Linked DNA regions of Alligator mississippiensis. The protein of the gene in region 2 interacts with the protein of the main gene of each other region in a biochemical or structural test. Links are inferred from orthologs where the notes say so. Each region holds a gene or a part of one and is shown on either strand. Other genes may lie near its edges.

The links. The genes of interacting proteins can lie anywhere in the genome.
Region 1: the proteins of RNF20 (region 2) and WAC form a complex in vitro, tested with the Homo sapiens proteins (2 studies listed by BioGRID). The link is inferred for Alligator mississippiensis from reciprocal best matches to the Homo sapiens genes RNF20 and WAC.

Annotation. Positions count from the first base shown.
Region 1 is NC_081828.1:190,514,332-190,523,754, reverse strand, and holds the start of WAC (WW domain-containing adapter protein with coiled-coil), read right to left. Parts: upstream 3,734-9,423; 5' UTR 3,634-3,733; coding exon 3,593-3,633; intron 3,477-3,592; coding exon 3,440-3,476; exon of another isoform or gene 3,212-3,439; intron 2,148-3,211; coding exon 1,952-2,147; intron 1,132-1,951; coding exon 1,063-1,131; intron 1-1,062. Other genes in the region: microtubule nucleation factor SSNA1-like, read left to right, coding at 4,471-4,815.
Region 2 is NC_081826.1:162,741,958-162,751,968, forward strand, and holds the start of RNF20 (E3 ubiquitin-protein ligase BRE1A), read right to left. Parts: upstream 4,581-10,011; 5' UTR 4,483-4,580; exon of another isoform or gene 4,472-4,482; intron 3,935-4,471; 5' UTR 3,851-3,934; intron 569-3,850; 5' UTR 480-568; intron 1-479. UniProt on the Homo sapiens protein: Component of the RNF20/40 E3 ubiquitin-protein ligase complex that mediates monoubiquitination of 'Lys-120' of histone H2B (H2BK120ub1).

The sequences.
Region 1 (9,423 bases), on a different chromosome or scaffold from region 2:
AAAATCTGTACATGATCACGAAGAAGCACAAGTTTATGTTGACATTATACTGCATAGAGCGGCTCTATGGTTTACTATGCTTATGACATAATAAAGTTTAAAGCAATTTTAGTCATGCTTATTGACTGAAAAGTTTTCTGAACTAAATCAAAACTCTAAAACTAAAAACACAATTACCTTGCTTATTTCTGTTGCATCATTTTACAAAAATGCCATATTTTGGAATGCTTATGTTTGCTGACCTAACCACTTAGAATAACTTGCTACACCATGTTATATATTGAAAATATACTGCACTAAATCCTCCATTCCATAAATGGCTTAGGGAATAAGGAACAAAATGAGTAGCAATCTTCTAACCCCTTCAGATTCCAGCATTTCCATTTTACCTCCTCCTTCAGCTGCTTCATATTTGTATGCCTGGGGCATGTATCACTAATCATTCAGTACAGGTGGACTAAGCAAGAACTCAACTTTCCTTCTATAGTGTGAGAATGTCAACAGTCAGAAATACTGTTGCTTCCCCATGGGCCTTCATCTCTCATGCATTTTCACAGGTACTTAACTGTTGGTAGTCCCACTGGAATAGAAACTATTTGAGGTAGAGAAGTTAAACAAAGTATAAGAGCTTGCAGGGTCAGGATCCAAGGGAACAAGTAAGTAAAACCAGGAATTAAACCCAGTTTCTTAAATAGCACCCTACAGAATGGCACACATCTGAATTTGGAAGTATCTAAATGTAATCTCACGCTTAGAAAAACAATAGAGGATCAATATTTTTAAGTTATCCTGCAAAAATTTTCTTACGAACTTGCAGTTTCTTATGCATGCATATCAAACATGCATAAAACAGTTCCATTTGTAGATTCAAGCAAAGAAAATAAATATGGAGCATACAAGTACTCATATACTATAAGTATGCTTGCAGTGGAGACCAGGAGTTCCCTTCAAGATATCTTAAAAGATACTTGGCATTTCACCTTAATGTTAACTATTGTAACAAGCATTCACAACAAAAGTAATAAAATGAGTGTCCTTACATCACTTATTTGTCAACTTTACCTATAGCATGGATGATACGTTGTTTTAGAGATCTCTTTGGTTCCTCTTCCTGAAGACTTTTCATGGTAACTCAATAAAGAATGAAAAGCAGCACTGAAAACCCAAGAACTGGCTTAAGTTTGACTGGTGTCTGAGGTAAACTCTCCCCCCACCTCCCCCACAATAGTAAACAGTAAAATGTTTACAATTTTGCTCATTAGATAAGTAAAGCAAGATACTGGAGGTAGCAAAAATGGAAGGCAGGCAATAGAATAGAAGTCTATTAAAATATTTAGAGAATTAAAGCAGGAACACTTTATGAGTTCCCCCCAAAGTAGGAATCAAATCAGGAATACCTTTGCATACTATCCCCTACTCACTAGTCTTCCTTACAGCAACTAAAAGTTCTGAAGCTTCTCTGCATTTTAAATTATCTATTTCGTTCAGCCTGTTAAGCACTTAACTGAACAATTAATCATCATAATAAGCAAGCAGACTACTGTTATTTAATAAGCCACAGAACAATCACAGTTTTCAGCCTTTGAAGCAACAAGTAAAAATCTCTATGATGAAGAAATCTAAAATGGAATGTTATCACATGCTAATATTACAAGTGTCTTTAGAAATTTGAATCGCAGAAATTAATTTGAATCACCATACTAAAATTGCATATATGTATTCTCCTGTGGCCTTCTCGAAATGTACTACTTGTTGGAGGCACAAAATACTTCACTTCATGATGTTCTACACAATTATGTTCAGTGAAACTAATCGCTCAGGGATCAATTAGTTGACCACCATGTCTAGACATGTCATTCAAGGTGAAGTTCTATTTGCCCAGTAGTAGCTGTTGTTACGTAGTTTACATCAGATTAATGCTGCTTAAATAAGTCAATTAAAAGCAACTCACCACCATCCCTCTCTCTAACTCTGTGAGCATGCACACTTTTTGCTTTACTGTGCCCTGTGTTGTCACCATATTTGTTTTCAGGGCTATCAGATCGCCGCAACATTTTGTTTGGTGGTGAAGGATCTGTGGTGTCTCGCATCTTGTCATGACGGTGATCACCACCACTGGGGTGACTCTTTGATGAATATTTAAGAGTCTGCAAGAGATGAGAATGCGCTTTAAAACTGGGTTTCATTTTTGTAGCAGTTACTACCACTTCCCACCAAAACATGTATTCTAAATACAGAACACATTTAATTTCAATCTAGTATGACTCAAGATTATAAATGTGATTAGAGCTCCTGCTGAAAACCAATTTCAGCAGGACACTCAGCCTTTGGCTTTCTAGTTGTAGTTAGCCATACAAAGTAATGTTATGAGGCGGATTTAGGTCTTGCGACACCTCTGCCCATTTTGATATCATATGTGAACATTATTTTTAATATCCTCTAAAAGCAAAGTAGCCATTCCTCAAACTTCTTCATTTTGTGACCCAGATACGTTTAGCAAACACCCAGCTTCTTTCCTCACCTACTTCATTATCAAGTAATGCAATATATATTATTTATCATATGTAACTTCTGCACAAACCCAGTGTACACACGCACACACACGCACTGCAAGCTTGATTTGAAAACTTTTACCCTAATCCAGCACCTTTTACCCTAATCCAGCACCCCAATGAACTTTTAAGGGCAAGAATCTCCTGAAGCCATAAAACCAACTTAACAGGCGGAAGGAAGCGCAGTGGTGGGACAGGCAGTGCTTTCGCTGGCCTGCGCCCACTTGGAAATATTGACCTGCTGGAAGTGCTCCTGTCCAGCCCCTCTTCCACCTACTTGCTTTGGCAAGGCACTTCGCTGCCAGGGGAGTGTTTGTGTGCACGGGAACTGCCCCTTCCAGCTGCCTTCAACTGTCAGATTTCATTTCCCAGCTAATCAAATACCCAGAGCCGTGAGCAACCAGCACCCTTGGAGGAGCCCCACAGTGCAGGCGCCCAGGGGCTGCCTCCCTACCCACGGGAAGGGGGAGAGGGGGTGCTTCTCCAGGGCCCTCGAAGGCAGCTCCTCCCCGGGTATGAAGCCAAGTGCCCCAGCTCCCAAGTTGCTCCATTGCTGGCAGAGAAGCCGCTTTCCCATTTGTTTTGGCTCCAAGAGACCCCAGCGGCTCTCCCGCCCGGCCCCGCCCCGCCCCGCCCGGCTCGGAGGCCCAAGGCCGCCCGGGCCCTGCTAGGCCGCGCCCGCCCCTGCCCCTCGCCGGGCCCGCCGGGCCGCCCTTTCCCCACCGCAACCCCCCTCCCCCGCGGCGCAGCGGGCCCGGGGCGGCCGGGCGGGCAGGGCCGAGGCGGCGGGTGCAACGCGGCCTGCGGCGACGGCCGAAGCCTGCGCTGGAGTAGCGCCCCCCCCCGCGCCCGCGGCCTGCGGGGCCCGGCGGCCGGCGCTGCAGTACCTGGTAGGGCTGCGAGTCCCCCCTGCGGTCGTGACAGCTGCGGAGAGAGGGGGAGAGAGAGAGAGAGGCGTTAGCGGGGCCGTTACCGGCCGGGGGAGGGGCGCAAACATGGCGGAGGGGCGGGGGGCGCGGGCCGGGGACGGAGCCATTTACCCATCACTGAGTCTCTGCTGTTTCCTCGCATACATTACCATCAATGCCCGGCCCGTGTGCGTGCGGGTGAGGGCGGCCGGGGGGGGCGGCCGCGGCCGGGCCACGGGCGCCGAGGGGGGAGGGGGAGGCAGCGCTCCGCCTCGCCAGCGGCCGGGGCCGGGGCCGGGGCCGGGGCGGGAGCGGGGGCTCGGGCTCGGCTGCGAGCGGCGCTCACGGGCCCATCGCCGCCACGCGGGACGGGGGACGAGCCGGGCGCCGCGCGCACGGAGACACTGGCGAGCACGGACGCGCCGCTGCCGCCTCCCCCCGCTGCGCCCGCCGCCGCCGCTCCTCCAACTACATCCGGGCAACTCGGGCGCCGCCGCGCTCGGCCCGCCTCGGCTCTTTCCGGCTCTTTCCGCCGCGCTCCGCCCCCCGGCCCCGCGCTCCCCTTTGCTCTCGGCCCACTCTGCCTTCGGCAAACATCGGCCGCGGCCGGCCTGGCTCGGGCCGCATCGGCTCTTTCCGCCCTGGAGGGCGGTTCCGGCTTTCGGGACACTTCGGCTGTTTCCGGACCTGCTTTCGGGAAGCCTCGGCTGTTTCCGTCACCCTCCCGACGCCGGAGTGCGCGGCGCGGTTGCGGTTGCGGTTGCCGCCGGGCGGGGGTCTGGACCGGACCTGAGCGGACGACGCGCCCGGCTCCGCCGCGGGCCGAGCCAGTGAGTGCGGGCTGCTGTCCCGGGGGCATGGCGGGGCCGGGGCGGGAGCCATTTTGTGTGGCTGCCTCCCGCGGGAGGAAGCTGGAGGCGGCGGCGGGCGGCTAAGATGTCCTTGGGGAGCCCCGCCGCAGTGTCTCCTTCCTCTTGTCTCCCCTCTCTCCTGCGGAGCGGGCCCGGAGCATGGCGCAGCAGGCAGCCGTCCTGCAGGGCTGCAACAACGAGGTGGTGCGGTGCCTGGAGGACCTGTGCCTGCGGCGGGACGAGCTGGCCCGCCAGATCCGGCGGGACGAGGAGGAGCGGGAGCGGCTGCGGCGGGACGTGCGGGCGCTGGGCGAGCGGCTGGAGCGCGTGTCGGGCAGCCTGGCCCGCAAGGCCGAGGCCCGCGACGAACTGGACAAAATCCTTGCTGAAACCGACGCTGCTTACGTGAAGATCTTGGACAGCTTTCGAGCGCTGCTGAGTGTCCTGAAGCAGGAGGCAGGGGCCTTGAGCAAAACGGCAGTGCTGGAAAGCAATGTCACCTGAAACGGGCCAGTGTGCGTGCAGCCTCCAACTGAGCTAAATTCCCTCTTGGGTGAGGAATGAGGTTAGCCACAGACCCTGGGGGTAGCAGAAGTGGGGAAGGGCTTGACTGGGGTCTCTTGTCTGTTTTACCTTTAGTTTAATGCACTAAAGCAGTGTGTAACGCACATAAAATAAAGTCAGTATTTTGCTACCAAATATTCATAACTGTTTAATAACCAACACACATGAAGATATATACACAGGTTTTGCAAATCGATCTGTGGGAAAAGAAGGTCACGTTTTGGTACAAATGTCTTTCCATGTCTGTTTTCAGACAACGTAATAATAATTTAAAAAAAAAAAAAGCTTTCTTTTTAGTTTACCATATGAAATCCTCCTTGCTTTCCATGGACTTTCAGTCTGAGTAGTGCTTCCAGATCTGAGAGGAGAGGGCATTTTTTGTCTCTCTTCACTCCTGTAGCCAAGGCAAGAGCCATATTTATGGCTTCAGGGAATCCCATCCAGTTTTCCTTAATTGCTCTGGAAAAAGAGGTGTAAAACAAATGGGTGGGGAGGGAGGAAAAGAAGTGGAGCACAGAATAAGTTTCATAACTCAGTAGTAGCACAATGTTTGTTTTTTATGTTTATTGTCTAAATGGATATCTATCCGACTTTTTTATTTAAATAGATTTTTTTTTCTTCCTTTTTTTAAGGTGCGTGTTATTCTAAAGTGTGCACATAACACAACTTCTATTATTGTGTCTACAGGCTGTCAGGCCCATCCAAAAGCTCTTCCAAAAATAAACAGAGGCCAGGAACAATTGTATTAAAAGACCTTAAATTTAACAGGGACTATATTGACTTCCTAAAAATTCTAGCTGATCAAGTTCCTGTACTGTGCCTGGCCACTGTAAACGTGTACGAAAAGGGAGAGGGAGGTATGTTTAGTAATCTGGCTGGCAATAGACTTCTAAATCTTTAGAGATCACAGCTGCACCTTGCACAAATTTATAGGCTTTTCTGCCCTTATCATTGTAGTTCTGTATCATTGTAGTGTTTTTCATGTAACACACTTCCATGAAAATTTTTTTACATAAATTGTCGAAGTTTTGGTTTATGGGGGTCATCTTAGCTGAGGGCAAAAGATTGAAATGCCTGGAAACTTTCTTTTGGATACCTTTTATGTAATTCTAGCGAATTATATACTTACAATAGGGTTGTGAAGAACACCTGAAGAACGTGGAAAGGAAGTATTAAATACACTTCAGAAGTGGAAAATTAGATTAGAGATGGTTCTTGAGCTCTGAAACTTTCTTTTGGATGTGGTTAAACCTAGCTTGGAAATAGGGAAGCAGGTTAGAGACCATGACTAGAATCTCAATTTTGATCCTATTTTCTATTTCTAGTGTGTATTAAAACTTCTTTATAGCACTTCATATGTTAGCATACTGTAGCTTTTGCTTTGTTCCAAGATTTTGTGCAGTAGTAAAGCCTTTGTTTTATACTGATTCTTTAAATTTAAGGAAGTGCAATGGTAACTCTCACATCAGGCAGCATAACACAAACTATGAAACTCTTGGGTGCAGAAGTAAATGGTATGTATGTCAGCGCAAACTGCGTCTGGCTATTTTGTCTTTGCAGTTTTATGAAGTAAAAGTTCTATTCTAGTGTGTGCCATGCTACGCTTAAAATGTGGGTGAGATTACAGTGACTCAACTAATTGTCACTATATACATATTCCGTTTCCACCAGTCTCCCTTGAGTAATACAGGAGTGATTAAAATTAGATTATCAGGAATGCTGCTGCTATTCTAGTACCCCAGTATTAATCAGGGCAAAATCCCTGCTTCCTTCTTTGCTTATTTTTACTTTAATACAGGGATGTCAAGCTCATCTGGCTCCCCAGGCTGGATCTAAAAATAATAGGATCAGCAGTATCAGGGAGCCGGGGCTACACTCATACCCCACTCCACCCCTGTGAACACACATCTCCAGTGGGGCTCCATGCCTCACATTTCAGCAGTGAGCCTGACCACAAATGTCCAGCCTCTAGGAGCCAGGCAGGCCAGATTCCCAATCCCAGACCCAGCTCGCAGGCTGCACGTTTGACACCCTGCTCTAAGGGAAGTGGAACTATCATTACAAATTTCTGCAAAATATTTGGACCACATCTGGCTTTGATCAATACCTAATCATTGTGTCATGATTGTTAATGACATTTCTCATCTAAATTTATTTTTTCCCTTTAGATCAGTGCAACTTGCATTTCGGTCTTGAAGCTACATGTGTATGCACACCACTTCACACTGGTAATAAATCAGTTTTCTGGAATGAAAGTTCAAATGATCTAAATACAGATTCCTTTTATCATGAATGCTTTGGTTACAGAGAAGTGAAATGGTGGTTTTTATATCTCTTGTGTTCTCCATCTTGCTTGGAGACACCATTTATAGTATAGTTGTCTTAATAGCAAATGGCTCTGTAATTCATGTCTCTGTTGTATTATTTAAACAAAACTAGTGTACATTTTGAGTTTATTATGTATAACTGGGTACTACAATGACAAAAATAATGTACTTGAGCTGACAGCTTTTTTTAAAAAAGGTTGTGATTTAGCTTACAAAAACAAGCAAATTACAGTGGTTTTCTAGTATCCAAACAATGAGATTTTAGGGCTTCTTTTAAATAAAAAGTGATTTCTCACTTCTGTTAACTGAGAAAACTACAGGTGACAGTGAGGTGTCAAATCACAAATGGAGGACAGTATATGGCCTTTAATCTAATCTATGCTGGTGGAGAATGTTTTTGCCTGTATAGTATATGAGAGAGTCTAGACTAGTCATTCCAGATCAAGTGTGGGCTCTTTTATACCAGAATGGAAATGTCCACACATGGAGTTATTTAGGAATAGCTACTGCACTTTAAAGTCATATGCTACGTTAATCAAGTATGACCAAGTTATTAGTCTTTTGGTCGAGTGGCAAACCTTGTTAATACAGTATACAGCTTGTGTATATGTGAATTTTCTTGACTGTTTAAGATACTGTAGGTGAACTGATGTGATTAGCTTTTTTTAAATTGTTTCAATCTGATTAAAATAGGAGGAAGATGCAGCACTGTCTAGGTGAGGACATTCATTTGGAGTAGGAAATGGTGTGGATCAAAAAGCTGAGTCTGAGGTCCCCTGTGGTCTAATCACCCATCTGGCTAGAGTCTTTAAAAGTCATACTGATTTCTGTAGCCAGTAGTACTTGAGGCAGCAATGTCATTAGCATTGCTCCCAGTTAACTTTTGACTCCCCAACCTGAATGACAAGTATGTCATGCATGTAATGTAGAGCAATACTTAACTTAAATCACCTGGCCTCCAGAGTGGAATTCAAACCCTGATTTGGAAGCCTGGGTTTCATTATGTAATACATGGGGACAAAGTAATCCATAGGAACTAGTGTGCTGAATGGGGCCAACTCAAGTTAGCCAAGAAAAAATACTAAGCACAGGAGCAGGTAAACTGTCCATCTCGGAACTGCTGTTCTGAGCATAAAGAAGGGTAAGGTAGGGGATGGAGAGGTCACAAGAGGTAAGGCAAGTAGTGGTTAGGATATGTAACTAGGGAGAGATTGCCCTGGTTTCTGGTCCCTGCTTCCTGATCTGTTTAATGTAAAATAAATAAACAATGACTGAATAAAAAACACAACCCTTAAGACCTGAGAGTGGAGGCCAAACACAGCTGACTGCTTTAACTGCTGTATTCCAGAGTCCCTTCCTGGCCCTGTGAATCTTGCGTTACTTTCTGCATCATAGCACAGCGTCAGCAGCATGTGCCTGGCTCAGCCACACAACTGACCAGCCTATAGCCAGGTATTAGGACACTCTCCTTGGTTTGAACCCCTTGAAGCCTGGTCTTCCAATTTATGAGCTGGTGGTGTAATGTATTGGGCTATTATAGACGCTTACCATCTCCCCCATCACCTCTGAACCCATTTTAACAAAAAAGCCATAACTGCATTTTGTGAAGGACTACAATATTGACAAGTACTTGATAATGGTGTGAGCCTCAGGCAGTGGAGTACCTACTTTCTGGATCCCAGTTGGGCTCAGGTGGGAGATCACCTGTGTGCTCTAGGGGGATCAGTTCTGGTCATGCACAGAGGGAAAATTGTAGGCACCTCCAGGGCCTTAATTCTGGCCAAATCCATACATGGGCAATGGATGTTCTTTTAATGTTTTTTAAAGGGTGCATACTAGATGCAGTGTATCACTATGACTCTCGGGTCAGAATGTGGTCTCTTCATATGTGCTCTTAAGGGTAGATATTTCCTTTGGATTAATTAATGTTTCCTTTGAGGCTGCAAACATGTCTGTATGGCTGTAGTTGGAGGTTGAGTCCTGTGGCTCCTTGTACGTGCTGCCACTGGCATCTGACAAACCACTTTTCACACTGAGAATGAGATATTTGTTCATTGTTTACCCCTCACTGCTATGTGGGTGTAGCACAGAAAAGAATACCCCCAGACCTGATCTTCAGTTGAAATACTATCCCTTAACCCAACTGAATGGAGATTTATGTCAAATGCAAGAACTGCTTCTATGTGAAAGGGAATTGGTTGCAGGGAACACATGCTATTAA
Region 2 (10,011 bases):
GGGGCTATATTTAATTCCGTCTTGGAAAGTGTCAAGACTATTACTGAGATTATAATAAAAGCAGTATCATTTCAAATTCTTCTGTGTAACAGCTGCTTCCTCCATATTTATACAATGCTTGGTACAATAGATCTTAACCTTGATCAAAACCTACTACAATACAAATATTAAATAACACAAATAATTAATTATACAGTTTTCTCCCTTGTATTTTAATTACTGTATTTCATTTTAAAACTTTTCTTTAAGATCAACAGTAATCACGGAAAAATAGGGAAGAGGAAAAGAAGGCTCCTTCCAAAAGATTTCAAAATGACATAGAAAGATGTCTGGGATGTGGCAGAGAACTAATACAGTGGTTTCTCCATCAGGATTCCCACATTCACAGTGTGACAGAAACGAAGACTAAAGAGTTTGGTGAGATACCTCCCTATGTCCTACCTGACCACTACACTGCCATACTGACATCTGTAACTCACCTAGAAGAATTTCTTTGTGATGTGAGGTGAAGTGTACGGGCAGAGTTGTGACGGAAAGTGGTAGGCAGCAGATCTTCTCATGCCTGCCCCTGAAGGGTACATAGAATGACAATGGAAACAAAATACGATATACCTGTTAATTCCCCTGACACAAAAATGCATTTGACATTTTTTCATACATTCTGATATGTGCCTTGAGAAAAGAAATAAAGAATTCTTGCAGCAAACAGACCATACTGAGAGATAACACAGTGCCAATATCATTGTAATCACAGAAGTTCCCTGTACTTCTTACTACCTTTAAATAAAGCATATGCGTGTATGTGCTTTGGGTTGCGTAAACCCAATGCTCGTGAAAGGCATTGGAGACTGAAATTCTCTGGATGGTGTGAACAGTGGCAGCAGAAATAGTCTCACACTGCCACCTGAACTGATCACAACCACAGAAAGTAGGGTGAGTGGCACCTTAAAGACTAACTGGTTCAGAGAGGCACGAGCTTCTGTGGGCAACAACTTACTTCAGCATCCACTATGAAAGGGGTGTTTGCTCTCTGCCTTCCATCTTTTTGCTTTGCATTGCGAAGGGAAGCAAAATACTTTTATTTACATTCTGAAGAGAACTGGCAAATAAGCCTACAGCCTGCTGCGGCTACAAAGCCCTTGCCAACCCAATTCTTCCTGTCCCCAATGGAAGCCCTCAGACCCTCACCAGACAAGGCCATAATGGCCACTTTATGCAAAAGCAAGCACAGACCTGATTAGGTCTGAATTAATTGAAAGACAGCCTATCCTAGGGGCAATTCTTATAGTCTCTCCTCCTTTCTCTCTCTCTGTGAAGAATTTTGCCATGTGTGTTTCCAGTACCTTTCAGAGGATCATGCTGCCTACTAATTTGGTACAAAATTTAGGTAACAATAATAAAAAAACCTGTAAAACTCAGAGCCCCACGGTTTCTAATTGGGGGCGGGGGAGCGGGGGTTTGCTGGATTTCTTAACAGCCGACACTGCAGCTTCTCAAGCTAAGAAAGGCACTTCAAAATGAGACAGAGGACTGCTTCATGTGCTCTATCCCATCCTTTAAATATAGCTACCGCAAAGTTACAAACCAGTGACTCTGTGAGGTTTGTTGTTTTTTTAAAAATAATCTATGTTAGAGGTGCACTGATACATCGGTCCAATATCAGATTGGTACCGATATAAAGAAAATTGTGTATACATCGGGCTGATATTTTGGCCAATAAACACCCGTGTTGTGTGCAGCTGCAATGCAGCATGGAGCAGAGCTGGCAGCATGGAGCGCTGCTTCCAGCTGATAAGTTGGAAGGGGCATGGGGAGGGAAGGGGCATGGGAAGGGGGCAGATCAACGGCCCACTGCAGTGAGGGAGGGGACAGGTGCTGCCCAGCCAGGGGGCAGAGGGGGGTGGCTCCCACAGCTGCTTGCACTGGGGGGGGGGGGGGGGGGGGGGGGGGGGGGGGGGGGCATTTGCCCCTGGATGTTCGCGGCGCGGGATGGGCTGCAACTGTGGGATGGAGCTGGAGCCGGCACTATGCAGGGCTCTTCTCGCCAGAGGCTGGGCTCAGAGAGGGCTCAAGCACTGCTAGGAGGAGACTGCAGCCACCCCAAATTTTGCTGCAGCTTTGTTTCCAGCCCTGTGCCGCTGTCCAGCTCAGCCACTGCTTTTCCCAGTGCTTGGGTGGAGGCGGGGCATTCAGCTGCGACTGCACTGGCCACTGGGCAGCAGTGAGGGGCTGGGAGTGGAGATGCGGTGAAATCTGGGGTGGCTACAGCCTCCTCCCAGTGACACCGGAGCCTGCTCCAAGCCCAGCGGCAAGAAAAGCCCCATGAAGCACCATCTCCACCCCGCAGCTGCAGCCTGCCCCATGCCGTGCCTATCTGGGGTCACACGCCCCCTGCCTTCCTGGGGTACAAGCAGTGGCAGGAGCTGCCCCCCCCACAAGCCGCACCTCTATCCTGCCACCCCCCCCGCCCTGGCTGGGCAGAGCCTGCCCCTACCCCCTCCCTCACCGCGGGGGGCGTTGATCTGCAACCCCTCCTGCCATGCCCCTTCCCTCCTCCCCTCCCTTTCCACCACAATGGACTGACCAGCTGATGGCAGCTGCATCAGAAATTGGACTGGTATCGGCTGATATGCCTCCTTAAATATCGGCTATCAGTATCAGCCCCCAAAATCTCTATTGGTGCACCTCTACCATATGTATGTAGGCATGTATGAGGGTACACATAAACATTTACATGTGTATACACATATGTATATACGCATTCACACATTTTAGTAATATAGGTGCATATAGGTGTGTATACATGCATATGTACATGTACACAAGCATCTGTATATACACACAGGAACTTTTGTTTTTAAAAATCGATATATGTATGCATGCACATACATGTGAGCATGTGTAAACACACACGTTCTTTTAATCTATATGTATAGGTGTGGGTATACACATAAATACGTGTATCCTCGCATACAAATACATATACATACCCATGCTCTTTTTAATCTATATGCATTTACATACGGATACATACATACATGTATACACACATACGCATAAATGTATACACTAGAGGTGCACCAATGCATTGGTCCAATATCAGATTGGCACGGATATAAAGAAAATTGTCTTTATCAGAAATCAGCCTCATATGGCAGATAATTTGGCTGATAAATGGCCTGTGCCTGCGTGGCTGCAGGGCAGCACATAGGCGGCGAGAAGCACAGCCCGGCAGCTTGAAGAGCAGTGTCCAGCTGGTAAGTCTGGTATGGTGGAAGGGGAGGGAGGAATGGAAGGGGCATGGTGGGGGGGCAAATCAAGGCCCCCTGCGATGAGGGAGGGAGTGGAGCTGAGACAGGGACAGGGGCTGGGGCAGGGAAGGTGTGGGACGGAGCCGTGGCTCATCCAGGGGGCACAGGGAGGGGGCTCCCGCTGCTCGTCCAGGAGGGCACGGGGGGGCAAGCATGCCCCTGGATCTGTGCGGGGCAAGCAGGGCCAGGGCTGCGCCACTCTGTGTTCATGGCAGGTGGCAGCAGCACTGGGAGCAGGGGCTTTGGCAAATTTTGGGGTGGCTGCAGTGCTCCCTGTATCCCTGCCCTCAGTGCCGCCTGCCCCGACTGCCGTCTGGTAGTCCCGGCCCTGACCACCCCGCACAGATCTGGGGCACATGCCCCCCACCCCAATGCCCTCCCCTGGATGAGTGGCGGAAGTAGCAGCAGAAGCCGCCACCACAGCTGTGTCCCACACCCACCCTGCTCTGGCTGAGCCCCGGCCTCACTCCTCCCTCACCACAGGGGGCCTTGATCTGTCCCTCCCCTGTCCCCGTCCCCGTCCACCACAACAGACTTACCAGGTGGATGCTGTTCTTCAGGCTGCTGGGTTGGTATCGGAAATCAGATCGGTATCGGCCGCAAACATCTCTATCGGTGCATCCCTAGTATACAGACATTGTTAACAATGAATATGCATTTATGTATACGTATGTGTACACAATTTATTGATAAATATAATATATACCTATATCTATATATACAAACACCTGTGTATACATATGTATAGATATTATTTTTAATAATCAATATGCATTTATGCATATGCATATACATTAACACATGTATACATACATGTACACGTGCATATATATGTGTCTATACACATTATTTTTAATAATCAATGTGCACCAATGTATATGTATGTATGTACACACACCCTGCCCCCCGCCCCCTCCCTCCAGGCCTACAACTCGCGGGGGTGGGGGTGGGGCGCTGGGCCCCCCTGAAGCCAACGCTCCCCCCTCCTGGAGGCTGCCCCCCTCCCCCGCCGGGCCGAGCCGAGCCCCCAGCGCTGCCCCTCCCCCCGGGCAGCCGCGCGCAGGGAGCACCCGCAGCCCCCAACGTCCCCCAGGGCGGACCCCGCCCCTGCGCGTGGGGGGAGCTCCGGCCCTAGCCCCGGCCAATCCCCCGTGCCGCACCCCGAGCTCACCGCCGCCCGGCGCTGCGCCTCCCCTCTGGCCTTCTACCCCTGACCCAGCCGGAAGCGGTCAGTGACAGCGGCTCCGCCAATCAGCGGCCCACTGCGCAGGTCGTCACCCCGAAGGCGGTGCCCTCACTAAATATGGCTACCGCACCGCTTTGCTTTCTAGGCTCCTGAAGCCATGGCGCCGTGACGCACCCTGGGCGTGCCTTTCCTGTGGATGGTCCGGAGCGGCTATGCTCCGTGCCCTTACTTGACATGGCGACTGCCTCCCGTTGTTTTCTAAGGGGTTGACGCTGGCAGGAAGGGAAAGGGTGGCTGCCGCCCTTCCTCTGCGTGGGCGGAAGTGGCGGAGAGGAAAGGGTTGAGGCGAGGCCCGAGGACTCCTGTGGCACCAGCGCTGCGTGCCTGCGGAGCGCCACCTGTAGGAAGAACAGGGGCCCGGGGGGTCCTTTGGTGGCTGCATCGGCAGTGCTCAAGAAAACCCTCACAAATCAAAGCAGCCCGGTTGCACGGTGGAGCTGTGGTCAGCAGGTGGCACTGGCCGTGTTGCCCCCTGAGCCAGCCCTGCCGCAATGGGCAGCACGGTCCTTGCAGGCGTTGCGTTGCCAGGGGTGAAAACCAAAAGCTGGGCAGCGTTTGCAGTCCATGCAGCTAATGATAGAGGGGAGAAGAGGATAGGGAACCAGCCTAGAATCGTGCCGTGACGGCGAGCGAGTCACTTCCCTCAGTTCCCCTCTGCAGGGTGTCATAGTGGTCTGGAGATTGTGTAGCCCAAGCCCAGGCTCAAGGCAGCAGATTCATTCCTGCTGTTAAAAACATAAGGTTTAATATGCAGGAGCTCAGACGCACCCTGGTAATGCCAGAAGGTTTAATATGTATTAGCCTGGGAATTAGGAATATATACAGTGTTGATATACTTACTGCAGCTAATCTGGGAGAGAGGATTTGTCATCCAAATCTGAACTAATTGTTCTTTAAAATCTGCTCTCACTGGCCTCTTGATTATTCCAAGTCCCAGTGCCCATACCACGCCTAGTCACGTGTGCAGTGCCATACTCCCGAGTGTATTATACAGGGCCCAGAAGAATGAGTACCAAACTACACTTTAAAAAAAATCCTGCTTAGCCATAAAATGACACCACCCTTGTCAAAGCCCTGTATTTCAGCCTGTGACCTCCGACAACAGCAATTCCAAAGATTGATTATATGATCTATGAAAAAATATTTCCTTTTGTGTGTTCTGAAGTGCCTTACTCTTCAGTTAATTGAGAACTAAACTTATTTCCACATTGTGGACCACATAAGACTGGAGGGCTGGTCACTTTTTTACCGTACTTTTCATAGCCTTAAATATTTCAGTGATTCCTTTACTTCATCTCCTTTCAAAACTAAACAATTCTAGTTTTTTGTAGTCTCTGCTCATTGTCATGACCCAAAGGTCTGATTTTTTTTGTGTGTGCTTCGGCACTAAGAATTATCCCCGCAGGTATACCGCTTCGTTACACGGAGGAGTTCTGCTGCGCAGAGAACCCGCATGCAGGGAAGTGTTCCCGCCACTTTGCAGCGATCTTTGCAGGGTGCATTTCCTTTGGAGCACAGAAATGCACCGTGCAAAGGTTTCCCGCTCGTGGTATGCAAATTTGTGCCCCGCAATTGGCTAGTTCTAAATTATTCACACATGGCGGCTAGCGATTGGCCTGCTAGCCGTATAAGAGGCTTGAGCAGTTTCTGCCCAAGCCGAAGAGGACTTTGCATCCATCTTGTGGGGATTCTGGGTGTGTGTGGCAGGGTAATAGAAACCCTGTGTGTCGCTCAGAGGAGTTTGGCGGCCTGATCCACCGCCCACCTCTTCCCGTCTTCGAACGAAGCCTACTATAAGATGTAACGACGAGTTTAATGCGTGCTTGTCCTGGACATCCGGAGTTTGTCATGTTCTGTCTGCATGGAGCCTTGCAACCTCCACGTGTGTTCGTGTTTTTTGTTGTAACCACAACTCAAGCAAGTTCTCAGCCTACACCACGACCATCTCGGTGTAAGTAAAATAATCTTAAAATCAACCGTTACGTGTCTGTGCCTAATTCTAGCTCGGCGCCCGCCCTCTCCGACCCGGCCTGCCCGGGCTGCTGGCCACAGCCTGCGTGCAGAGCAACGTAAGCGACCCGGGGTCAGACCCGGCGCGCACACTCATGTGAAAATCCCATGGAGTGTTGCCCATTTTTTAATCCTTTTAGCTCTGCCTTTCTTTCAGAGCAACAAACCCAGCACACCTGGGAAGAGCACTTGTGTTCAGTGTCATTAGAATACAATCTGGTTTGCAGTCTGATGACAGACAGGCTTTATAATTGCTATTTTATAGTGGGCAGATCTCATAAAGATCACATTATGCTTTCATACCCTTAAAGTGTAGAGGCTCCATTTAAGATTTAGAGTCAGCTAAAAGAGCCCCCAATTTATACTGTTTGTACCTTTTGTGCCTGACAAAAAAGTACACATGGGAAAGCTGTACACAAGAAAGATTTAGGTACAGACAGTTTTGAAAACAAAGAGATAATTGGTGAAAAGGCTGAGCTCATCATAAATCAAGACAAAGAGTCTGATGCTGCCACAAAATCAGGATTTGAATGATGTGTCTTCATTTAGGTACTGTTTCAACATAGCATTTAAGTACATACTTAATAAGCAAGAGGTGAGCATTTTCTCGGATGATATTTTTATTGGACCAACTGCATGGTTGAAATAAAGTTCGACAAGCTTTTGAATGCATTTAAGTCCTGTTTATATCATAATATTTATGCGTATGCCTAATGTTTAGGAATGTAAGATATACAATGTGAAGTAGCTTCTGGGTCTTTGAGCCCTGTCCTTTGCTATGGTAGACAACTACATCATATAATCTCATTTATATATTCATCAAGCTCCATCTTAAAAGCTATTATATTTCTTGCCCCTCCTATGCCAACTAGAAGGCTGTTCCAGAACTTCATTCCTCTTATGATGAGAAATAGTTCTCAGATGCACATTGCTGTATCAGAGCTACTACATTATGGTGCTTTTGCAATTAAACACATAATAAAATGCAGAGCATACTGTAATTTACGGAACCCCCTCCCACCCCCCAAAAAATCTGTTGTGTAAAAAAAAAAAAAAAAAAAATGAATGGCAAATGCTTTACAAGTAGGAACTAGGTCAAGATCCACTTTTCATTAAAACACTGCAAGATTTCTGCATTTCTAAATATTGTGCCAACTGTGCAGCCACAGAAACTGGCACAAGAAGCAAAGGGGGGGGGTCCCACTTTTATATATAACATCATAGGAGTTAGGGTCACAAGCCAATGCCAAAGGGAGGGAAAAGGTAAATAGACATTAACACTGTGGTACATACACTCAGCACCTTAATTTCCCGCCCCCACGCACACACCACTGGAGGTGTCCCCAAACCAGCCTTTAGTCCCCAGAGTGCTCAAACAGCAGGCTGCACTTGTTCTCAAGTCTGAGGCCAGCTCCTTCAGTCCGCAGCCCTGGCTAACCGAGCCAGTGAGATCTACAGTCCCACTATGCATCCCCAGTGTCCAGCAACCAAGCATAGCCCTCTCACAGCTCTCTGCTTCTCTTCTGGCCACCCCCTGCTTCCTCTTCCTTTTCACTTTGTCCTCCAGCCCCTGGGAAGTTTCTGGGGGTTGAAGTCCACATTAACAGTCAACAGAGCTCTGCAGAAGCCTTGCTTCTTGACAGTCTTAAAGGAAGATGGTTAAATATGTTATCTTAACACAATGGTAAAGGTGTGTCTGTCTTTCATGAACTAGGCTGATTTGGACAAGACTAGCTGCAGAGGCACTATAGTATGAACTTCAGTGGATCACAAGAGATCATGTAGTCTAAACCCCTGTGCGTAGGCAAAATCAGATTTACCAAGATTGCCTTGACATTTACTTAGCCTCTTCTTCAAATCATCCAATAAACAAGACTCCAGGATATCCACTGATACACAATGATGCTCAACCTCGTTGTCCAGTGGGCTAGATGTGCAGTGCCTGGTCTCTCCACAGGCTGGCTTTCACTAGTGGTCCTGATCCGGCACCCAGAGAGGGTTGCAGTGGGACCCCATCTGGCTCGTAGAAGGGAGCAGGGGGCAGCCTGATGCTGATCCAACCATGCAGGGAAGGAGACTTGACCCTAACACAACCCAGCTCCATGGGAGAAGGGGCATGACCAGCCCCGATCCAACTGCATGGGGGAACAGGGGTGGCCCAACCCTGCAGGCAGAGGGGGTGTGACCCAGCCCCACGGAGGGAATGGGGTGTGGCCTGGCTCTGATCTGGCTGTGGGTCCTGGGTATTTGGCAGTACTAATTGCCACTATTCTCCCACCATCAGATTTCCTAAATTGCTGGATGCTATGGTTCCATGGGCCGAATTTGGCTGGAGGTTGAGCTCCCCTGATCTATCAGATACTGAATTTCCCCTCATATCCTACTATGTCATCATTACTGCAAATTAAGCTGATTTCTTCTTATCCTTCCCCCCAGTAGCCATGAAAAATAGTTCCCTTTTTGTCTTCCCTTTCTGTCTTCTCTTTCTTATATTAAGCAAATCCAGTTCCTTCAACCTTTCCTCATAGGTCATCTTTGCTAAACAACTTTTGTTCTACTTCAGAGCCTCTCTACTTTGCCTACAACTTCCTTAAAGGTTGGTGCCCACTGCATATAGTCTTCAAGCTGAGACTTTACTAGCTGCAGTTCGTATCAGATGTACAACATCCCTGTTAACACACACCAGAATGAGATTTGACTCTTTTGCAGTAGGATCTCATTTCAGAATTATAGGTCATTTGCAATATACATCACCTCCCATATCCTGTGTACTGTTGCCTTATTAGATAGTGTGACAGGGGGCCATCTCAAGGCCAGTCCAGTCATTGGCCCACCCACCTGTCTAGGGCAGCCCACCCATCTGACTCACTTGCCATGCCTTTGTTGGAACTAAAACACTGTGCATAGGTGGGAGGCTTGCCATTTCTTGCCCTGATGCCCAGGGCATAATACACAGCTCTGAACTACCCCTACAGCATGTCCCATGCCTCACAGATGACATCCAAAATCACTTCCAATTCTCCCCGGCCCCATTTCTGGGCCGCATTTGACCTCTGGCCCAAACTTGACATCAGGCATCTTCCAACATACTTTGGCCACATGCCCCCTTCACTGGGGCCCCTTCACTGGGGCCACAACTTTTCAATTCTGATTCTGTGCATCATCCTGAGTATTTGCAACCCCTCCCTACTTGGTGTTCATCATCACCTATTAGACAGTAAAAAGACCCTTAAGAACATGAGTTCATTCTTCTAATAATCAGTGCCAGAATTAAGAGTTGTAGCTGACTGCAGGCAAATTCAAAATTGTGATAACTAGCTTTGTAGGCAGAAAAACAATTGTAACATTTTCACTGTTAATGGCATAAGACTGTTGCAACTAGTAAACAAGTGCTGAAGTGCAGTTATGCAAGTTAAGTGAGGAATAAGGGTTTTAAAAGAAGCT